Linked DNA regions of Drosophila melanogaster. The protein of the gene in region 1 purifies or fractionates together with the protein of each later gene. This does not show direct contact. Each region holds a gene or a part of one and is shown on either strand. Other genes may lie near its edges.

The links.
Region 2: the proteins of CG15356 (region 1) and Bap55 purify together in Drosophila melanogaster (affinity purification with mass spectrometry, with the first as the bait; one study listed by BioGRID). This does not show direct contact.
Region 3: the proteins of CG15356 (region 1) and CG3815 purify together in Drosophila melanogaster (affinity purification with western blotting; one study listed by BioGRID). This does not show direct contact.

What each region holds. Positions count from the first base shown.
Region 1 is NT_033779.5:1,974,924-1,982,408, reverse strand, and holds CG15356 (uncharacterized protein), read left to right. Parts: upstream 1-1,653; 5' UTR 1,654-1,796; coding exon 1,797-1,857; intron 1,858-1,981; coding exon 1,982-2,156; intron 2,157-2,228; coding exon 2,229-2,499; intron 2,500-3,206; coding exon 3,207-5,499; intron 5,500-5,595; coding exon 5,596-5,867; 3' UTR 5,868-6,946; downstream 6,947-7,485. Other genes in the region: CG7289 (uncharacterized protein), read right to left, coding at 1-97; CG15362 (uncharacterized protein), read right to left, coding at 482-523, 577-767, 826-1,099; Der-1 (Derlin-1), read right to left, coding at 7,222-7,348, 7,418-7,485.
Region 2 is NT_033778.4:17,428,850-17,432,940, reverse strand, and holds Bap55 (brahma associated protein 55kD), read left to right. Parts: upstream 1-1,977; 5' UTR 1,978-2,100; coding exon 2,101-2,299; intron 2,300-2,378; coding exon 2,379-3,221; intron 3,222-3,280; coding exon 3,281-3,516; 3' UTR 3,517-3,588; downstream 3,589-4,091. Other genes in the region: EDTP (Egg-derived tyrosine phosphatase), read left to right, coding at 1-167, 233-368; Lhr (lethal hybrid rescue), read right to left, coding at 777-1,781; Mtap (methylthioadenosine phosphorylase), read right to left, coding at 3,900-3,938, 3,998-4,091.
Region 3 is NC_004354.4:6,293,561-6,299,473, forward strand, and holds CG3815 (uncharacterized protein), read left to right. Parts: upstream 1-1,828; 5' UTR 1,829-1,945; coding exon 1,946-1,993; intron 1,994-2,149; coding exon 2,150-2,340; intron 2,341-2,403; coding exon 2,404-3,088; intron 3,089-3,148; coding exon 3,149-4,671; intron 4,672-4,742; coding exon 4,743-4,932; 3' UTR 4,933-5,410; downstream 5,411-5,913. Other genes in the region: CG15892 (uncharacterized protein), read right to left, coding at 1-184, 250-578; CG15891 (uncharacterized protein), read right to left, coding at 1,044-1,493; CG12219 (uncharacterized protein), read right to left, coding at 5,737-5,913.

The DNA of each region.
Region 1 (7,485 bases):
AGCGGCGGTACGAGGAGATCGTGCCCTCCGCCAGGCGTTTCATTCGACGCATCACGTCGCCGGCGTCGAACTTGCTTTTCGCTGAGCGGAACAACATTTTCCAGCAGTGTTTTGGAGCCCGGAAAATGTCGGAAAATTGAGAAACATTTCAATTTTAGACCATTTTTGTGCTTCCCAGTGAATGGCAACTGCTTTTAGTGATGGCACGGCTAGTCTCGCTAAATCGATATCTTTGTATATCGGTTGGAAATTCTATACCCTCGGATTACAGGGTATAGTGCATTGAACCCCAAGTTTAAAACGCATAATGCAGTTAATAGGGTAAGCCCTAATTTATATTAAATTGTATATATCAGTTACATTTCTTTGTACATTTTGACGGGCTTGAATCTCACTGGGTTGACACAGATGGTTGAAACTTAAGACAGTAATGAAAAAACTCTTAATTTTAAATTGCACCTCTCCCGCAACTAAGCCCATATCACAGTTCCCGGTCCTCCAATTCCCGAATCGCATCACTGGACTGAAAGAAGGCAATGTGAATTAGTAAAGAGTGAGGTATGCGATGCTCCTTACCTTTTTGAACCAGAATGAGGGCATAAAGCTGATCTTGTTGCCGAAACTCATGTCGGCAGGCGGGAAAATGCCGTGCAGGTGGAGGTGGCGAACCGAGATGAACGGCGGCAAGTGGAAGCCCACAATCGCCTCCTTGGGATCCACGTTCTGCGATCGCAGGAATTCCATCATGCCCTGCTCCATTCGCCGCACTGGGTACGTGGCAAATGGTCATTAGTACGTTTGCTTGCTATGCGTACCGTGGCTTACCCAATCCAACGTGCGATTTGTTCAGCGCTTTCAGGCTGTCGAAGTGCTCCTTGGGAATCGCCAGATAGTGGAGTCTGGCTGCCGGATACTTGTCCTTGAAGATCACGTACTCGTCCGTCTCCACCTCCAGGATGGGCGGCGGTCCTTGGCGGCGGTGGGCGAAGTCGCAGAAGAAGCACTTTTCGCTTTCCGCCTGGCGAACCTCGCCACTGGCACATTTGTAGATCGATACCAAAACTATTAAGCCCAAACCGGCCAGCCCGGCTATGTACATTTTAGCCTTGTTTTTCATTCGGCTGTTTGACTGGATCGGCACGGTCTTAGCTTTTCTTTTCATGAACGTCTGTGACTAAGATCGTTTCACACTTTCGAATTGGTAAAATATTTTGGATAAGCGAAGTAAACATTGTAGCGGGTATTTATCGATTAACCATCGAGCGGTCCTATGTGCACTTCCATTGGAAATATTCCAGTGCTAGGCGGGAATTTTAAATCGTGTATTTACATTTTATAAAATATGAAAATGTATCCAGAACTAATCATTGAAAATATATGGAAATTAAAAATATATAAAAACTGTAGGTGTGCGAAATAAATCACCTTTCCATATAGCAGCGTTAATGAAATCACTAATGCCATTGCTTGGCATTACAAGTAATAAGTTAGCACTGTAATTATTTATATGTTTAGTTTCATTTTTAATTAAATTTGTTATTTTCTATCCGATCTATCGCTGCCTTGCCACCTGCGATAGTTTGATACCTTTATTTCCTCCTGGCCGCAGTGTGACCGCAGCGGCCTATCGCCCATCGATAGTTCGATATTCTTATTGCTTTATTTTATTAGGAATAGCAAACCATTTATCCGTATTTTTTGAATTAGCGACCTAATCCTGCGTTGGCCAAAGCTCAAGCAACCGGAAAAGCACGGGATCGCCGACGGCCAAGGACGTAAATCACGGGAAAGTCGGGATGTGGCCGCAAACGCTGGAAATGTCGCGGGACGAGTGCCGAGGCATGCTGCGTCGACTGGGTGAGAGCTGAGTGGTCAACGAAATTCAGTCCCATCCTCGGGAGCTCTTGAGGATCGGCCGCCGAGTGGAGCGCTGGCGACTAAAGCACTTTCTTCCTGTTGTCTCTGTTTTTGTGCCCACCAGAACTCGAGTCCTATTCACATGTGGTGAGCGTTTTTCGCGCCCAAGGAGCCCTCAGTGAAACGAAGGCGAAACTGCTGGAGGAGCTGCGCCAGCAGTTCCACATTAACCAGGAACGCCACAGGGCGGAAGTGCGGAGGGCGGCCAACGACGAGCAGCTCTGCACCATAGCGGAAAAGTGAGATTCCCAGTGAGATACTCCAGTGCAAACTAACTACTAATGCCCTGTGTATCTGTACTGCCCTTGCAGCGTTTGTGGGCCCAACACCTGGCAGGAATGGTCACGCGAGGGACGACGCCTCTATCCTCTTCTTCCCAGGATTAGTCCACAAACTGCGCTGAGCATCGTTGCCAATGACCTGGCGGCCAAAGCCTGCGAGGAAAACGCCAAATTGGCTGCTCCGGCCGAAACGGCGGTCCACTTTGGAGAAGCCCTCGTGGAGCAGGCCTCGCTGATGAGCCTGAAATATCCGCGTGGTGCCAGGATCCAGGACACCGCCATGGTGATCATGGCGGAGCCGGTGAGTTACATAATCCCATCCGTGTAGTTTCCACTCGCTTGAGGATAGCGAATGTGCAGACTGTACCTGCCATGAAAACAAGTGGGTGGCTGCTTTTGGGCGCTGCCAAAAAGTTGCCCAGCGCCAATTACCCTTTGAATATAGACGTAAATAATGGGAATCCTCAGAAGAATTTAAAAAAAAAATCATAATTCCAAATGAAAATAAAAATCTGCCACTAAAAACAATCCAGTTGGATTGTGGAGTTCCAACCAGAATGCTAAAAAGGCGGGAAAATTAAATCGTTTCAATTTTCTTCGTACTTCATACCATTTTACACTTTCGTTGTCACCTTTTTAGTTTCCCAATCGTTTTTCGCTTATTTGTTAATATATCTCTGGTAATCATTAGCTATTCAACTTAAACCGCCAGTAACAGAAAACTGTGAGTATCTGTTAACTGGGCTTAACATTCTGTTGGCTTCCAGCTGTTATCGATAGAGGGTGAACTTTACGTGCCGTTCAAATTGGATTTTGAATTGGATTATATAACGAGCACAAATAAATATGTAAATATTTATGTTTATAAGGAAAGTGACTTAAAACCAAAATAAGTAATTCTCCTCGCCCTTTTTATCTTGTTTTCTAAAGTGTCTGTTTTCAGGAGTCTGTTTCACAAGTTGAGTAATGAAAACGCCAAAAATTAAAATCAATTCTTCCCTCCTTCAGTTCAAAGTTCCCGATCTACCCAATGAGGTGAAGAAAATGACACAGAAGCGCAAGGAGAACGATAGCGGAATCGACGGCAAGCCGAACAAGAAGCGGCATATGCAGCAACCACATCCGCAGCAGCCGCATCTGCAGGCTTCGCAGCAGCAGCAGCAGTCACAGCAGCTGAATCCGAACTCCTCGAATCCCGGCATGGAGGAGGCAGATCCCGTGCCGCCAGAGAAACGGATGACTGCTCGGACGCTACAGCAGCGCTACTTCTACCAGCAGCAGATGAAGCACAAGCAGCGACTGGCCAGCAAACGGAATCTTGCCAACAGACTGGGCTCACCCTCCGCGCAATCGGGCAATCCCTTGGGCGGCAGGAATATGCCCAGCTCCGGTGGAGACACTTCGACAGCTAAGCGAAGTGCCGCACCTGCCAAGAGCGGCAGACGAGCGCAGAAGCAACTGCAGCAGCAACAGAAGTTGCAGCAACACCAGCAACAGAAAGTATTAATGCAGTCGCAGGAGACGGTGCCCAATCACATGGTGGTACAGCCGCACGTGGAGTATGTGTTGGATGAGGCGCTCAAAACGCTGGCGGCATCCAATCCTCCCACGCCCACGTCCACAGTCGCTCCTCCATACACAATCCTAAACGAGCCGAGGCCACTGGTCACGCTGAAGCCTCTGAAGACCATTAAGCCGATGATCTATGGGCCGCAAAGTGGTATGCCCTCTGCCGAAATTGGATCCCCCACAACGCCAGGCTCTCGCGGATTTGCCAACTCTCCCATAGTGTTTAAGGAGAAGCTGCAGGCGTCACCCGTGCAGGTGGCCACACAGGGTCAAGGTTCGCCCACCAAGAAGTTTGTGGCTGAGGAACGACATGCGGATGCGATGCCCTCCGCGGCCACTACGCCCACTCCCATTTCCACCGCGAATCTTCCATTGGCGCCGCAGATAATCAGTGTTCAGAAGATCCCAGCTCCGTCGATGGGCGGCAAGCTGAGAGCAGCCGTGGCTTCGCCCACCAGTTCCACAAACTCCACGCTCCTGCCACCGGGCGCCAAGACAACGCCCAAGAAGTTCAACATCCTTGAGGGCGATGCCAAGCCCAAGACCTTGCCCAGTTCGGCGGTTCGCCTGCTGCCGTACACGGAACCCATAGGCGGTCCTTTGTCGCCGCTCAAGGATTCCAGGGTCACTCCCTTAAGCAGCGCCTCCACCGTCAACATTATCAAGAATATACCAGCTAGTAGTTTAAACAACACATTGATCACACCGCTTCCCTCAGCCGGCACCACCATGCCGGCGAATCTCTTCAGAGCGAAGGTAACGCCGTCAATCAAAGGAGCCAGCGGTGCTGCAGGCGGCGCAACCGTTATTGGTGCCGCCGGAGCAACAGGAATCGGTGGAGCAGGGGCTGGGCCTCAGATACTAGGGAATATCAAGCTAACCAGCAGTTCGGGCGGAGCAGCCACTATTAAACAGGTGCCCAGCAGTGCGCTGCGGAACATAAAGATTTGCTCACCCAACGGGAAGCTATTCCTACAGCCGGGTAAACTGCCAGCCGGAAGCATTATTCACAAGTTCAATAACGCAAGCAGCACTGCGGTGTCTGCGGCGGGAGGAGTTGTGACCACCACCACCACCACTGTATCGCCCACAAAGCAGCCGGCGAGGGAGCAGAGGATCAGCATACAGAAGATACTCCAGCCGGCGACAGGAAGCGCCAGTAGCGGAAGCAGCAGTCCCACCACCACCACGACGACCATATCCGGCTTGACTTCCAGTGCCAAGCAGCCAGGTTTGGGCAACAAGCCGACCACGCTGACCTTCGCCACTGCGGGCGGTGGTAAGAACAATCTGGTCTTTCTGCCAGCGAGTGCGGCGAGTGGCATGCGGGCACTCACCCTGGCCACAAAGCCCAAGTCCAATGTGCTGGTCATAGGGGCGAGCACCTCTCCAGCTAGTGCCGCGTCATCTCCCAATCCCTCAGGCGGCACCAAGCCCAAAGCCAACCAACTCATTACGGAGGACACGCCCATCGATATTATTAACATGCCCATCATTGTGGCAGACAACGGCACCGCTGCGGAGCTCAATCAGGCGTCGGTGAAGAACTCGCCCCTGGTCGTGTTCAATGCCACCGACTGGGAGATGGAGCTGGATCAGGCAGCCACCAAGTCTGCCAGCACGACCTCGAAACAAGCTCTGGACGATGTGATCATCGAGGAGGACGAAGATGCCGAGGAGGAGGCAAGGGAGAGTAGTGAGCAGCCATCTACCATGGACCTGAACAATAGCAGTGAGTCTCTGTAGCTAATGTGCATGTAATGGAGTTCAACTGGCTCCTTGAACTGCAGTCGACTTCCGTAATCCTAACTCTTGCACTACTTTCCAGTAATTGAGCTGCACCCGGAGGATGACAGTGCCATCGAGTACGTCGACATGGACCTGGAGCAGCCCGTCGAGATTGAGAGCACCAGCAACATATCGCCAGAGACGGCCACCACCACGCTAAAGGCAGCCATCGTCTCCACATCCCCCCAGCAGCAGCAGCAGCAGCCGCAGAAGAAGCATCCCCCACTGGAGCATCCACTGAGCGCAGGAGCGGCTGCAGGAACAGGAAGCAGCACGGGAGCAGCTGTCCAATCAGCAATTAAGTTACCCTAAACGCTCCCCATTTCGAGATATTCGAGTGAGAGAACGCACACACACACAGCAGACCCGGTTTGAATTAGATTTAGTTGGTAGTTTAGCTTGAATGTCGAAGGTTTTCCCACTAATTTCCAATTATCGCAACCCGCAGCCTTGGAGCAAAGTGCAAGATTATCGTAAGCAGCTCTAAATGCCTGTTGGTTTAATCGCTCGCAATAGTTAAGTTGCCAAATCACACAACCACCACTGTTATAAACATAGTATCGTTTAGTGAAAAGTATACCCTGGAATTCGTGTTAGTTTTAGTTTAGTTAAGCGCCCATTTCATCCGCCTGCAATCCTGGGAGCCCGGAGTCGATCACCTCCCTCCTGTAAATAGGGCAGCTGCCTCTGCGGACTACCTTAATTTGTATAGCTTGTAAATAGATTCCACACTTCGCCCAGAAACCCATACCCCACTCCCCCCCCCACACACCACCCTTTGCCTAGCATAATTTCATCCTAATTTAGTTGCCTAGACTAGCGCAGAAATAAGCGAATTGTACACAAACAAACGAATTCGAGCAGCACGCAGAGAGCGAGGAAATTGTTTAAATGTTCAACTTGAAAGATTCTTAATTGTATGAGATTATAGACCCTAGTTGACCCAATCCGAACCCGAACATGTAAATATCTGATGAATTTCGAAATGCAAGGCCCAACTATCGCAGCCACATATAAATATACACTTGTATAGATACCTAGTTCGGCTAAGGACCACACATGTTTAATCTTGATCGGAAGGAGACCCATGCCACACACACACACACACACACACACACACACACACCCACACACACAGATGATTAACCATTAACGATTTATAGATGTTAAGTATTTTATGCGTCGGTTTTGTAAATCCAAATCTTAAGAGGAATGTTGTAACTTTCGACCAAGGTCCAAAAAAGAAACACACAGAAAAGGAAGAAGCATCCAAACAGAGAATTCCCCTCTACGAAAAGTGAAAAGTGTAATACAAAATATTGTTGAACGATGCGTGTCGCTGTAAAATTTTTAGCATAGAACTTTTAAACGAAATAAATTTAAATGTAACTAAAGGAACTCGTTTTGCTTTGGCCAAAGGGAAACGCCGCATTCTTTTTTGTCTTCTTTAATGGTTGTTTATGTACACACATATTTTAATATAATTTCATCAATGCACAATGCAATCCTTCCACTTAACATGTTAACTTATTGCTGTCGCCAGAGAATCGAGTGGTGATCGAAAAATAGTTGGAAAAGTAAAGAGCTTGGTGAGAAAATAGAGTAAACCAAACCGTAAAAAGGGGAATTAGTCTAGTCTAGAGAGTTTCGAGTTTCAGCTTGGAGTTCAGTTGCGACCCAAGGTCATGCCCCGGCCCCAGGGACTTTCGGTCGCCTGCCTAGGTGGTGCTCTGCTCTCCGGTGGGAGTCCGAAGCCGCCGAATCCGCCGGAAACATCTGGCACCAGGCGCTTCCTATACAAAAAAAAGAAGTGCGGGTTATATCGACTAGCACCACAAGTTAATTATCCTCGTTATGCTTACAAGAACTGCGGCGTTTCCAACAGGGGTGTGCCGCCCAAATCCTGCGAGTATTGGAACTTGAAGAAGTA
Region 2 (4,091 bases), on another chromosome or scaffold:
TGCAATGGCGGCAATGGTTACCACTGCAGCATCAATGCAGCATCGAGTGGCAGTGGGAGCGGAAGTGGTAGCAGTATCAGTAACGGCAGCTCGACGCACGGTTTCGCAAACGGTTCCTCCAAAGACGTAGGCGGCAGCACTATGGCCAGCAAGCAATGCATCAACTTGTAAGTTGTAGTCTGATTATTCGACAGCAAATACATAATGACATAATTTTGTTTTACAATTGGAGACGAAAGCAACGCCTGAATGCAGTGCGCGCCATTTTTATACAAGCCTACGGCAAGACGATTGGACTGAAATTCAAGGAGGGCTCATCCATGAACCTGGCCACGTTCATTGGGAACCTGGCGGACCAACTGTTTTGAGAAAGGATTAGCAGCTATGACCGTTTGTTAGATTTCATCAACATTGTTTGTTTCTTGTTAAGTGCTACGCTTTCAACCAACGACTGTATTTATAGACCTGTTAAATTGCGTTCTTTAGTATCTGTTGACGATTGTGTAGTGTAACGGATTACTGATTACCGATAAGCATCGAAAGAACCAGGCGATCGTAGGCAACGAGCAAACAAAATCCTGTCGTCCTTCTGCCCCGGCTAAACCGCTCTCCTGTTCTCTAGGTTCTCCCGCTCCTTGTTTGTTTAGTTATTAGTTCTTCGAGAATGCAAAGCAAGTGAAATATAAAATGCTATTTGGATTATACAATAGTTTTAAGTTGTAATTTATAGTAATGTATTTTTTAATAAACTTATGTGCATTTTATACGAAAGAAAGTCATGTTCTCAGCGTAGGCCGCCTTGAGCGCCGTATTCTAGCTAAGGGTAAATAATCATCAATTTCCACTCGCTTCAGCCGGATGCGACACCTTTTAATGTAGTATTTCGCGCTTTTAAGAGGAACGAAGCGTGGTGTTTCTATCGGTCGTTCGTCACATTTTGTTGTATCTTTAATTTTAGGTTCAATAGCTGTTTCTATTTTGATTTTGACATCATTTGATCCTTTGCAAGCATTATTATATCTGATTCTTTTATTGGCACTTGCGACATTGGGTCTTATTTTGTGTGGGCTAATGCCGAATCTGTCCATGGCCGGACTGAGTAAATTGTCTGCTGGGAGCTCTTTCACCCGTATCGCTTTAAGAAATTCGTCGTATTCGCTCTGAACCGTCTCCAGGTCCTTAGGACCCAGCTTTCGAGTAGCTTTCTCTTGGCGCTCTTGCTCCAGGATGAGGGCGAGGACCTCCACTTCTAAATGCCGGCGTTCCGCTTGCGCCATAGATTTCACGAAAGGCAACTGACTGAGAAGAAACTCCTGACACTTGGTTTTCGGCACATCCGCCGGATTCGGGGCTTGCATGCGAATGTGCACATCGTGCATCACCCGCCACAGAGGTTCAGGGATTTGCCCTTTGGAACCGGCCAAGGCTCTGACCAGCGGGCGCAGCTTCACCCAACGCAGCTTCAGTTCACTTACGGAGAACGGAGTACTCAGCTCAACGTGCTCGTAGCTTTGGTTAAAGGACTTGGCCAGCTGATCCCAACCCCAGGAGTCGTAGTCAACGTCCATTTTGGGCTCCACCTGCGGGATGATAAGGAAGGGATACCGGGCGAGCATCTCCATGAGCAGCAAGTCGTTTAAAACAATCTGGCCGCTGATGTTGGTGTTTGATATGTTAATCTCCAAATGGGGAACAGTGGAATGGATCACCGTTTCCTCGGCGCTGTCGGTACTCATTTTAATATTTTTCGCACTGTGTTTCTCCAACGTTCTACAACACATTTGTGTACTAATTCATCCGTATGTTTTAATATACCACTTAACGGTAATTTCTTTAATAAAATCTATGTTTTTAGAATCCGAGTTTTAATTTGTGTTTGCTAACTAATAGCGATGGAAATTGTTTGAGAACAGCAATCGATAGGTAAGCGACCAAAGCGATAGGTAGGAAAATATTTGGCTTAAACAATCGATAACTTATCAGACCATCTCCAGCGAGGAAGAAGCGTCGTGAAAAAAGCCGCAAAATATACACAGACGGAAGTATTTTCGCGAATTACTTGAACACAACGTGCGAAAAAAATAATCGGAACGCCCCAATATGAGTGGCGGCACCATGCTATATGGCGGCGACGAGATCGGCGCCCTGGTCTTCGATCCTGGACATCATTCCTTGCGAGTGGGCTACGCACAGGAGGATTCGCCCAAGGCGGAGATACCCTCGGTTGTGGGGATTGGAGCAGCTCCAGAGACCAATCTCGATCCGGAAACTAAAACAGACAACAATGCCACGCCAAATAGTTAGTTTCTACATCGCCTTTATTTAGTTTATGGCTTTTAAAAACCCGGAAAAACCGGCAATCCCTACCCCTACTCTAGATGCTGACCAGCGCAAGTTCTATGTGGACACCAACTACGTGACCGTTCCCCGTTCCAATATGGAGGTGCAGACCTATATGAAAGACGGCATGATTGACAACTGGGACCTGTTTGAGAAGGTTATTGATTATGCCTACGCCAATGTCATTCAGTCGGAGCCGGAATACCATCCCGTGCTCTTTTCCGAGGCATCGTGGAATGTCCGCAACAACCGCGAGAAGCTAACCGAGCTTATGTTCGAGAAGTACAATGTTCCAGCCTTCTTTCTGGTAAAGAACGCCGTTCTGGCTGCCTTCTCCAGCGGGCGGGCCACCGCTTTGGTTGTCGATAGTGGAGCCACCCACACCTCGGCCGTTCCCGTCCATGAGGGCTATGTCCTATCCCAGGCGGTGGTTAAGTCACCCCTGGGTGGAGACTTCCTTTCACGACAGTGCCGCCAGCATCTGGAGAAGCACGGCATTGATCTGTCGCCGGTATACAAGATTGCCTCCAAAGACGTTGTTAAGGAGCGCGACAACGGACGCTTCACGCTGCGCAAACTGCCAGAGAACCTAACTCAGTCGTGGCAAAACTACATGTTGCAGCTCATGATGCAAGACTTTCAGATGAATGTGCTGCAGGTCCTAGAAAATCCGTTCGACGAACGGGTTGCTGCTCAAATCCCGACGGTACACTATGAGTTTCCTAATGGTTATCATCAGGACTTTGGCTCTGAGCGGTTCAAGATAGCCGAGAGTCTCTTTGACAATGCAATGCTGGGAGCTGGCCAATTGGCGTCCACCAGTGTGGGCATGTGTGATGCGGATGTGCGGCTGTCACTTTTCGGCTCAGTTGTCGTTACTGGTATGAATTTTCCCTAGGTTTTAAAACTAATTACTTATACCTTAATATTTTGCTCTTAGGTGGCAATACCCTTCTGCAAGGCTTTCCGGAGCGCCTAAATCGCGATCTCCAGCTGCGTGCCCCCTCAAATACGCGCCTAAAAATGATTTCTGCCAATGGCAGCGTGGAGCGAAGATTTGGAGCCTGGATTGGCGGCTCTATTCTAGCCAGCATAGGTACTTTCCAACAGATGTGGATATCGTCGCAGGAGTACGAAGAGGCCGGCAAGAGCCAAGTCGAGCGGAAGTGTCCGTAAGGACAGCGCAATCGAATTCCAATTTTAATTTTAAAGACGCAACTCTATGTAATAATATAAATGTGAAATGTGAAAAGTGTCCCATTATTCAGAAGACATCTGAGCGTTTGTTTAGGAATAGATTGCATTTGATTACGGAAATGTTTTTAGTTACACACATATGTATATATTTACTGCGACGCTGACGCGGACGTTACAGTTTCACATTTCAATGGAGTTTTCACCGGCTGCCTTTTGTCTTTCGGATCTAATTCGTACGTAATGGATATGGAGTGAACTCTGGGTCCTCGCTTTTTGTGGAACTGTTGATAGAGCGGTGGCACATAAATCTTGCGGCGAATCAGCGTCTCTTCTGTTATTTCGTGGCAAAGTTTTATAAATCGTCACATGGCTCCAGACATTGTGTTGTTGCAAACGCATTGCTATGGGCGGAACACATGATGAACTTAGTTTTAAATGATGTTTATCTCGGCTCACTCACCTTGGCATTTAGTATGTCCTCCGACCAGTCCTCCTTGGCAATTCGACCAACAGCGTTGACCAGAATCTTCTTCACCTTAATTACGTTCTCGGCA
Region 3 (5,913 bases), on another chromosome or scaffold:
CATCGTTGTGGCCAGATGGGAAATGAATTTGGCGAACTTCTTGATGAGCACGTTCAGGTACTGGGTGCGGCACTGGCGCTCCAGCTTGGTCAGCATGTTGTAGTACAGTTCCTGCTTGCGCTTCAGGAAATCCTCCTTCTTTCGCTCCTTGGTCTTGTTGCTCTTAAGGATCTGCTCCAGCTGTCTGTTTTTGGGAATGAGATGAGATGATTAGATCGCGTTAGCAACTGATGCAAGCGCTGCACTTACTCCGTGGTAATGGCTTTGTATTTGCCCAGCATGCGCTTGATCCGCTTGGCCCGCAGCTTCGGATCGTATACATCCTTGAACTGCTCGTAGTTGTCGATGAGCGTGTGCAACTTGGGCTTGGACAGGGCCACGTCGTAGGGCTTTACCTTGGGCGGCAGTGTCGGCTGGTAGGCCATGCGCCGCACATACAACTCCAGCTTGTCCAGTTCCTCCTCCCGCCGCTTCTTTACGTTCTCCTCTGCGCACACATCCGGATCCTCCTCCTCGGGCAGCGACTCCGTCGACGTGGGCATCGGCTCATCCCAATCCGAGACATTGGAGCTGGCCATGGCTGAAGAGTACTACACGGAACTGAACTAAACGAAACGAAACGGAACGGCTCGTCTCGGCTTGGTAAATTTGTACGTATTGGAAATTTAGCTTTGAACTTGGTTACTTATAAACACAAAATAATGTTTCGAAATCTTTTTTGTGTACGAAAAATTTGGGTAAACGGGAGCACTAACAATTTTATGTATTCACGCTGCGATAGTGGATCACCTTATGAGCAGTCCCAGTTGAAATGTGAGCGAGGTAAAACCAAAGGACTACTTGATAGTCAGAAAAGTTCTACATGTTTTCAAAGAAATGGAACATTAATTGTATGGCAACAAGATTAAGGAATTCCAATGACTCACACCACTAACAAGCAAAAGAGCACTGCATATGTGGTTTACAATTAAATAAGCAACGTTTTATTATATGTAATGTAATGTAATGTATGAATATTAACCAGTGGATCTATGGATCTAAAGCTAGTAACACTCGTTCTGCACGGATCGCTCCAGGGCGAAGGTGTACTCCTCGGCCAGCTCGTCCACGGACAATTGGCGCGTTAGTAGCGCCAATATGCTGTCCACCTGCATTTGGGTGCTGGTGTAGCGATCCTTGTTGGCCAATCCGGGTGCCAGCTCGAATGGAATGTCCTGCAAGTAATTGACGGGTCCTTGGGCTCCGGGCTGCTTCACTTGATCGCTGCGCGGTCCTGGCATCGGCGGATAGGGCAGATAGCCCGCTGGCGGCATAGGTGGATACATGGAGCCGGCTGGAACACCCGGATGAGGAGCATCCGGTACTGGTTTGCGCTCTATGAACACGAAATCATCGACACTGGTGCCTGGACGGGTTGCCTCCGCCGGTCCCTGGATGGGCTGGTCATCCGTGGGCGTTTCCGCGGGCTTGCGTTTGCCAAATATCGAAAACATTGCACTATTTTGTTCTATTGTTTGGTAAAATCAACTGGCAAATTGCGTCGTCCGCCAGCTGTGATGCTCTTTTAGCGGGCGTTGGTCCAAAACAGCGAGTGCTAGCTAGTGGTGTGCCCAAAAGATGTAAACATATAGGTGTCTATAGTGAGGTCTGAGCGAAATATGAGAATTTTGGGTATTTAATTTTTAACTATTTGTTTGCTTGGGTATTTTTCGGTTACGAATGTGTATACCCAATATAAACTTTATTAATTGCAAGTAGTTAGATTTGGAGTGAAATGCAGTCTGCACTGAATTTCCGTTAATCGCCTATCGGTGGGCGCGCAGTGTGGCCATTCGCTCGTCGGATGCGCAGGGCTGGACAACCGACACTGCGCCCGCCTCCGTCGCCAAGTGAAGTCGCTCCGAGATTGATTGTGTACACCGGATAAGAGGAGCGAGCGAAAAAGATGTCAAAATTGGACCAGGACCCGAACGCCTCACTGAGCATCATGGAGGTGAGTGTGCCGCCGGGACGCCATTCAGAGCTTCAGTGTGTCCACTGCCCGGAGCTCCAATTCCAATCGGCGGTGGCTACTCTAGAGCTGCCACATTAACGCATTCACAACTGTCTCCATTTCCCACATTTAACATAACTTTACTACTTCGCGCAGCAAATCAAGCAGCTCATCCGCCCGCCGCCCAACGAGGACGAGAAGATGATGCAGCGGTCCACCAACACGAAGCATCCGTACTACAGGCGCCCGGGCAGGGGCCACAACCACGACTATTGTGACGCCTGCGAGGAGGGCGGCAATCTGCTGTGCTGCGATCGATGCCCCTCCAGCTTCCACCTGCAATGCCAGTGAGTATATACACGCGCATATAGCTGCTCATTTTGAGTGCTGATTTCGTGCTTTCGCCACAGTGATCCACCGTTGAGCGAGGAGGACATACCCAGTGGCCAGTGGCTGTGCCACAGCTGTCGCATGAGCAAGCTCTCCCAGCCGCCGGCCTCCTCATCCAAGGCCAGTTCCGTGGAGCGTGTGCCTTCGGCGGGCAGTGGCTCACGGGCGAATACTCCATCGTCTGGCGATCTGGAGTCCATACCGCTGAAGATCCGCAACCTGCGCAAACGCAGCAACAGCGAACGCAATAGCACCGAGAAGCTGCTGGCCAAAATGCCGATGTCCATACAGCGCGCCCTCGATCCGAACAAGAAGCCAACGCCGCTGGACGATGTCATCAGGGCGGCCACCATGATGAATCCGCAGCAATTCTCGCTGCCGCCGGAGCTCGAGCTGCACACCCAGTTCCCGGGCAATGGCAAGGTGCAACCCGTACAGCAGACGCATCCGCCGAGCGGAAATGGCGGTAATCGCAGATGCGCCGGCAATCAGCGACGCAACTCCAAGCCGTTTGAGCTGGATGCCCAGGGACTGGTGCCGCTGCCCGCCAAAACCTGTTTCTACTGCACGCGCTCCTGCAAACGGGCGCCGCTCATCTCCTGCGACTACTGTCCGCTCTACTTTCACCAGGATTGCCTGGATCCGCCACTGACGGCACTGCCAGCTGGATTGTGGATGTGCCCCAATCATGCCGAGAATTTTATCGTAAGTCAGCCAACGCACATGGAGGTCTGCTTGGGTTCTAATGAGGATGTCTGTTCACAGGATGCCAATATGACCAATAGCATTTCGGCCACGGAGCGGGTGCGTCTCTGGAATCGCTTCCACCAGCCACTTGACCATGAAAATGTCAAGCTTGAGTTCTTCCGGCGTGTCAACACGCGCAATCCGCCCTTTCGCACCAAGAGAAATCTGCGTGCTCGCGCCCACATCGAGGTGCCAGCCATTGTGCGCTACCACTACGATCATCCGCCGCCGCTGTTGCCCTCCATGCGCCAAACGTTGCGCTACGATCGGGTAAAGCGGCGCAATAACCTGCCCACCGAAGTCGAGGAGATATCCCGTGAGTCGGTCACCGAATCGCTGCTCAAGGATCTGGAGGCCTTGCGCACGGCTCACGCCAAATTCCGTGAGATTCAGAGGGAATTCGGAACCTTGGAGACGGCCATAGATGGCGATAGCGACAGCGATCCCAGTCCTGAAGAGAAAAGGACCGAGACGAACACTCCCGCCGATAAAGTGAATGGCGAAGTGGATACGGAGAATCCCAATACAGAATCGAATGCGCAGGCCAGCGAACAGCCGTCGGTTGTCAAGGTGGAGTCCAAGACCAGCCTAGAGGTGGAGGCTAGCTTCGAGGAGGACGAGGAGGACAGCAAGAAATCAACGGGTATTATCGATGCAGACCTCTTACACCTGGACGTCGATATAATCAAGAAGCTGGCGCACCAGCGTCTGCAGCAGCTGGTCGAAGAGCATCCGGAGATTGTGACACAGTACAAGAATCGCACGGCCGCTCGTCGCCTGCGTCAACTGGCGTCAGTCGATGGCACACATGTGGCTGGCGAAACTGCTGCCCTGCAAGGCCAACTGGCGCCGGAGGATATGAACCGTTTCTCGCTGCTCTTCACCAGCGAAACGTCCTCAATTCTGGCGCAAAAGAATGGCAATGCCGCCGACGAAGATCCCGCAACGGCCCTGCATCCGGCACTGGCCACAGCGGCGGCCATTGCAGCAGCAGATGCCGCTGCCGAAAGCTATGCGCCGCGTGCCCGTAGCGACACGGAGAAGGCATACGAGCTGGCATCGCGCCTGGAGCTCAAGCTGCTGCAGTGCAAAGTGCAGGCGCGTGCGGTGATAACGCCACTGGGCGACATGCTCGAGGATAGCCGCTGGTTCAGTTCGCTGGGGCTGGACCATTCGATTTTCATGCGCTACCGCACGCTGTACATTGGCTACGGTGGACACTATTCGCCATCGACGACGCTGGCGCAAACGGAGACCGTGGACCTGTCGGCCATTGGTTACTGTTGTCGCATTTCACCGCAGCACGCCATCATCTTCTACGACGAATTCTCCAAGTCGTACGAGCTGATCAATTACTCAGAGTTTGGCACCGAGGTGAATGGACAGCTGTATGCCTGCGACGTGACCGAAAGGATGACAACGCACGCCGGCAAGCCGATGCGACCTGACGATGCGGAGCTGAAGAAGCGCGTCGATGAGATGCTGGACAAGCGTCGGAACATTAATCGCCAGTTCGAGACGAAGAAAATCGACAAAGAACGGTAGCTATAGTTTATTTGCCCAACTTACCCAATGATGATGATAACCACTTGTTGATTTAATCTCCCCGCAGATTGGCGCCCATTGTTAAGCCCGCCTGCCGCTGCATGAACGCCGGACCAGTGCCCATGGTGGATGGCGCCTGGGAGGGATCGGCGGTGCTGGCTCACGGCAGCCTGCTGCGATTCGGTTGCCTGTCGTTTGTGTTTGTCGTGCCGTCGGTGGATCTGCTGCAGGCGCAGGCGCGCAGCAAGCGTTCGTAGAACCAGTACCCAGACTCCATCAGCAGAAGCAGCAGCCTTTAGTTTAAGCATTAAGACACAGAAACATATACGCGCTCAACCGCAGCCAACTCCAGTGGAGCAGCACCAATCTCAGTGGGGCAGCTAGCAGCCAGGCATAGGGTTAGGGTTAGCAGATACCAGTTCAACTTCATCGCATCAATCATCGCAATGCAAAGCCTCGGCAGTACTTTTAAATCACACAATCCTCCAATCCCATCCAGCATTAAGGGTATATATTTGCCTTATGACCAGTGCAATAAATACGGAGTACAAACCACGGATGTGCACGGCTGCAGGCTGATCCATGCCAGTGGGCAGTGGATCTCTGGTATCAAACGCCGTATTTATTGAATTAACCATTACGTTCATAAATCGCATAAACCCGCATCGCATACTTTACTTTTATTGTAAAAACAGATGTATAAATTGCTAAAACGAAATAAACTTGTAAGATCAGAGATTTTTTCACATGCAAATGGATCGATGGAGCCACCAATTAGCAGTAAGCCCCGCCCAATAAGTGCACATGACTTTTAGTTTCTTTTGAAATGAATGTGTTTACTTTATAACCAGATCAAATCCAACTGGTTAAGGCATTATAGAGAACGAGAAGAGTATACACAATAGGTGCCAGGCGGCGGGACGCCTTGACTTTGTGGAGTACACGAAACGTCGGATAAGTACATTCGGTATGGCTAATATGCAAAAAATATATATGTATATATTTGTAATTGTAAAGATCTAAGACTACGCATGCACCGCGTCCAGGTGCCGGCTGCCATCCTAGAGTGCGGCCGCAGGACCCGGCTGAGCCTGTGCCTGTGACGGGTTGGTGTGCTGCATCTGCTCCTGGACGCCAGCCTTGGCCGCCGAGCGCGTGGCTCGCGATCTCTCCCATTCCGCTTTGTGCTTGCGCTTAGTGTGATGGTACATATTCGACTTGGAGCGGAATTCCGTGGG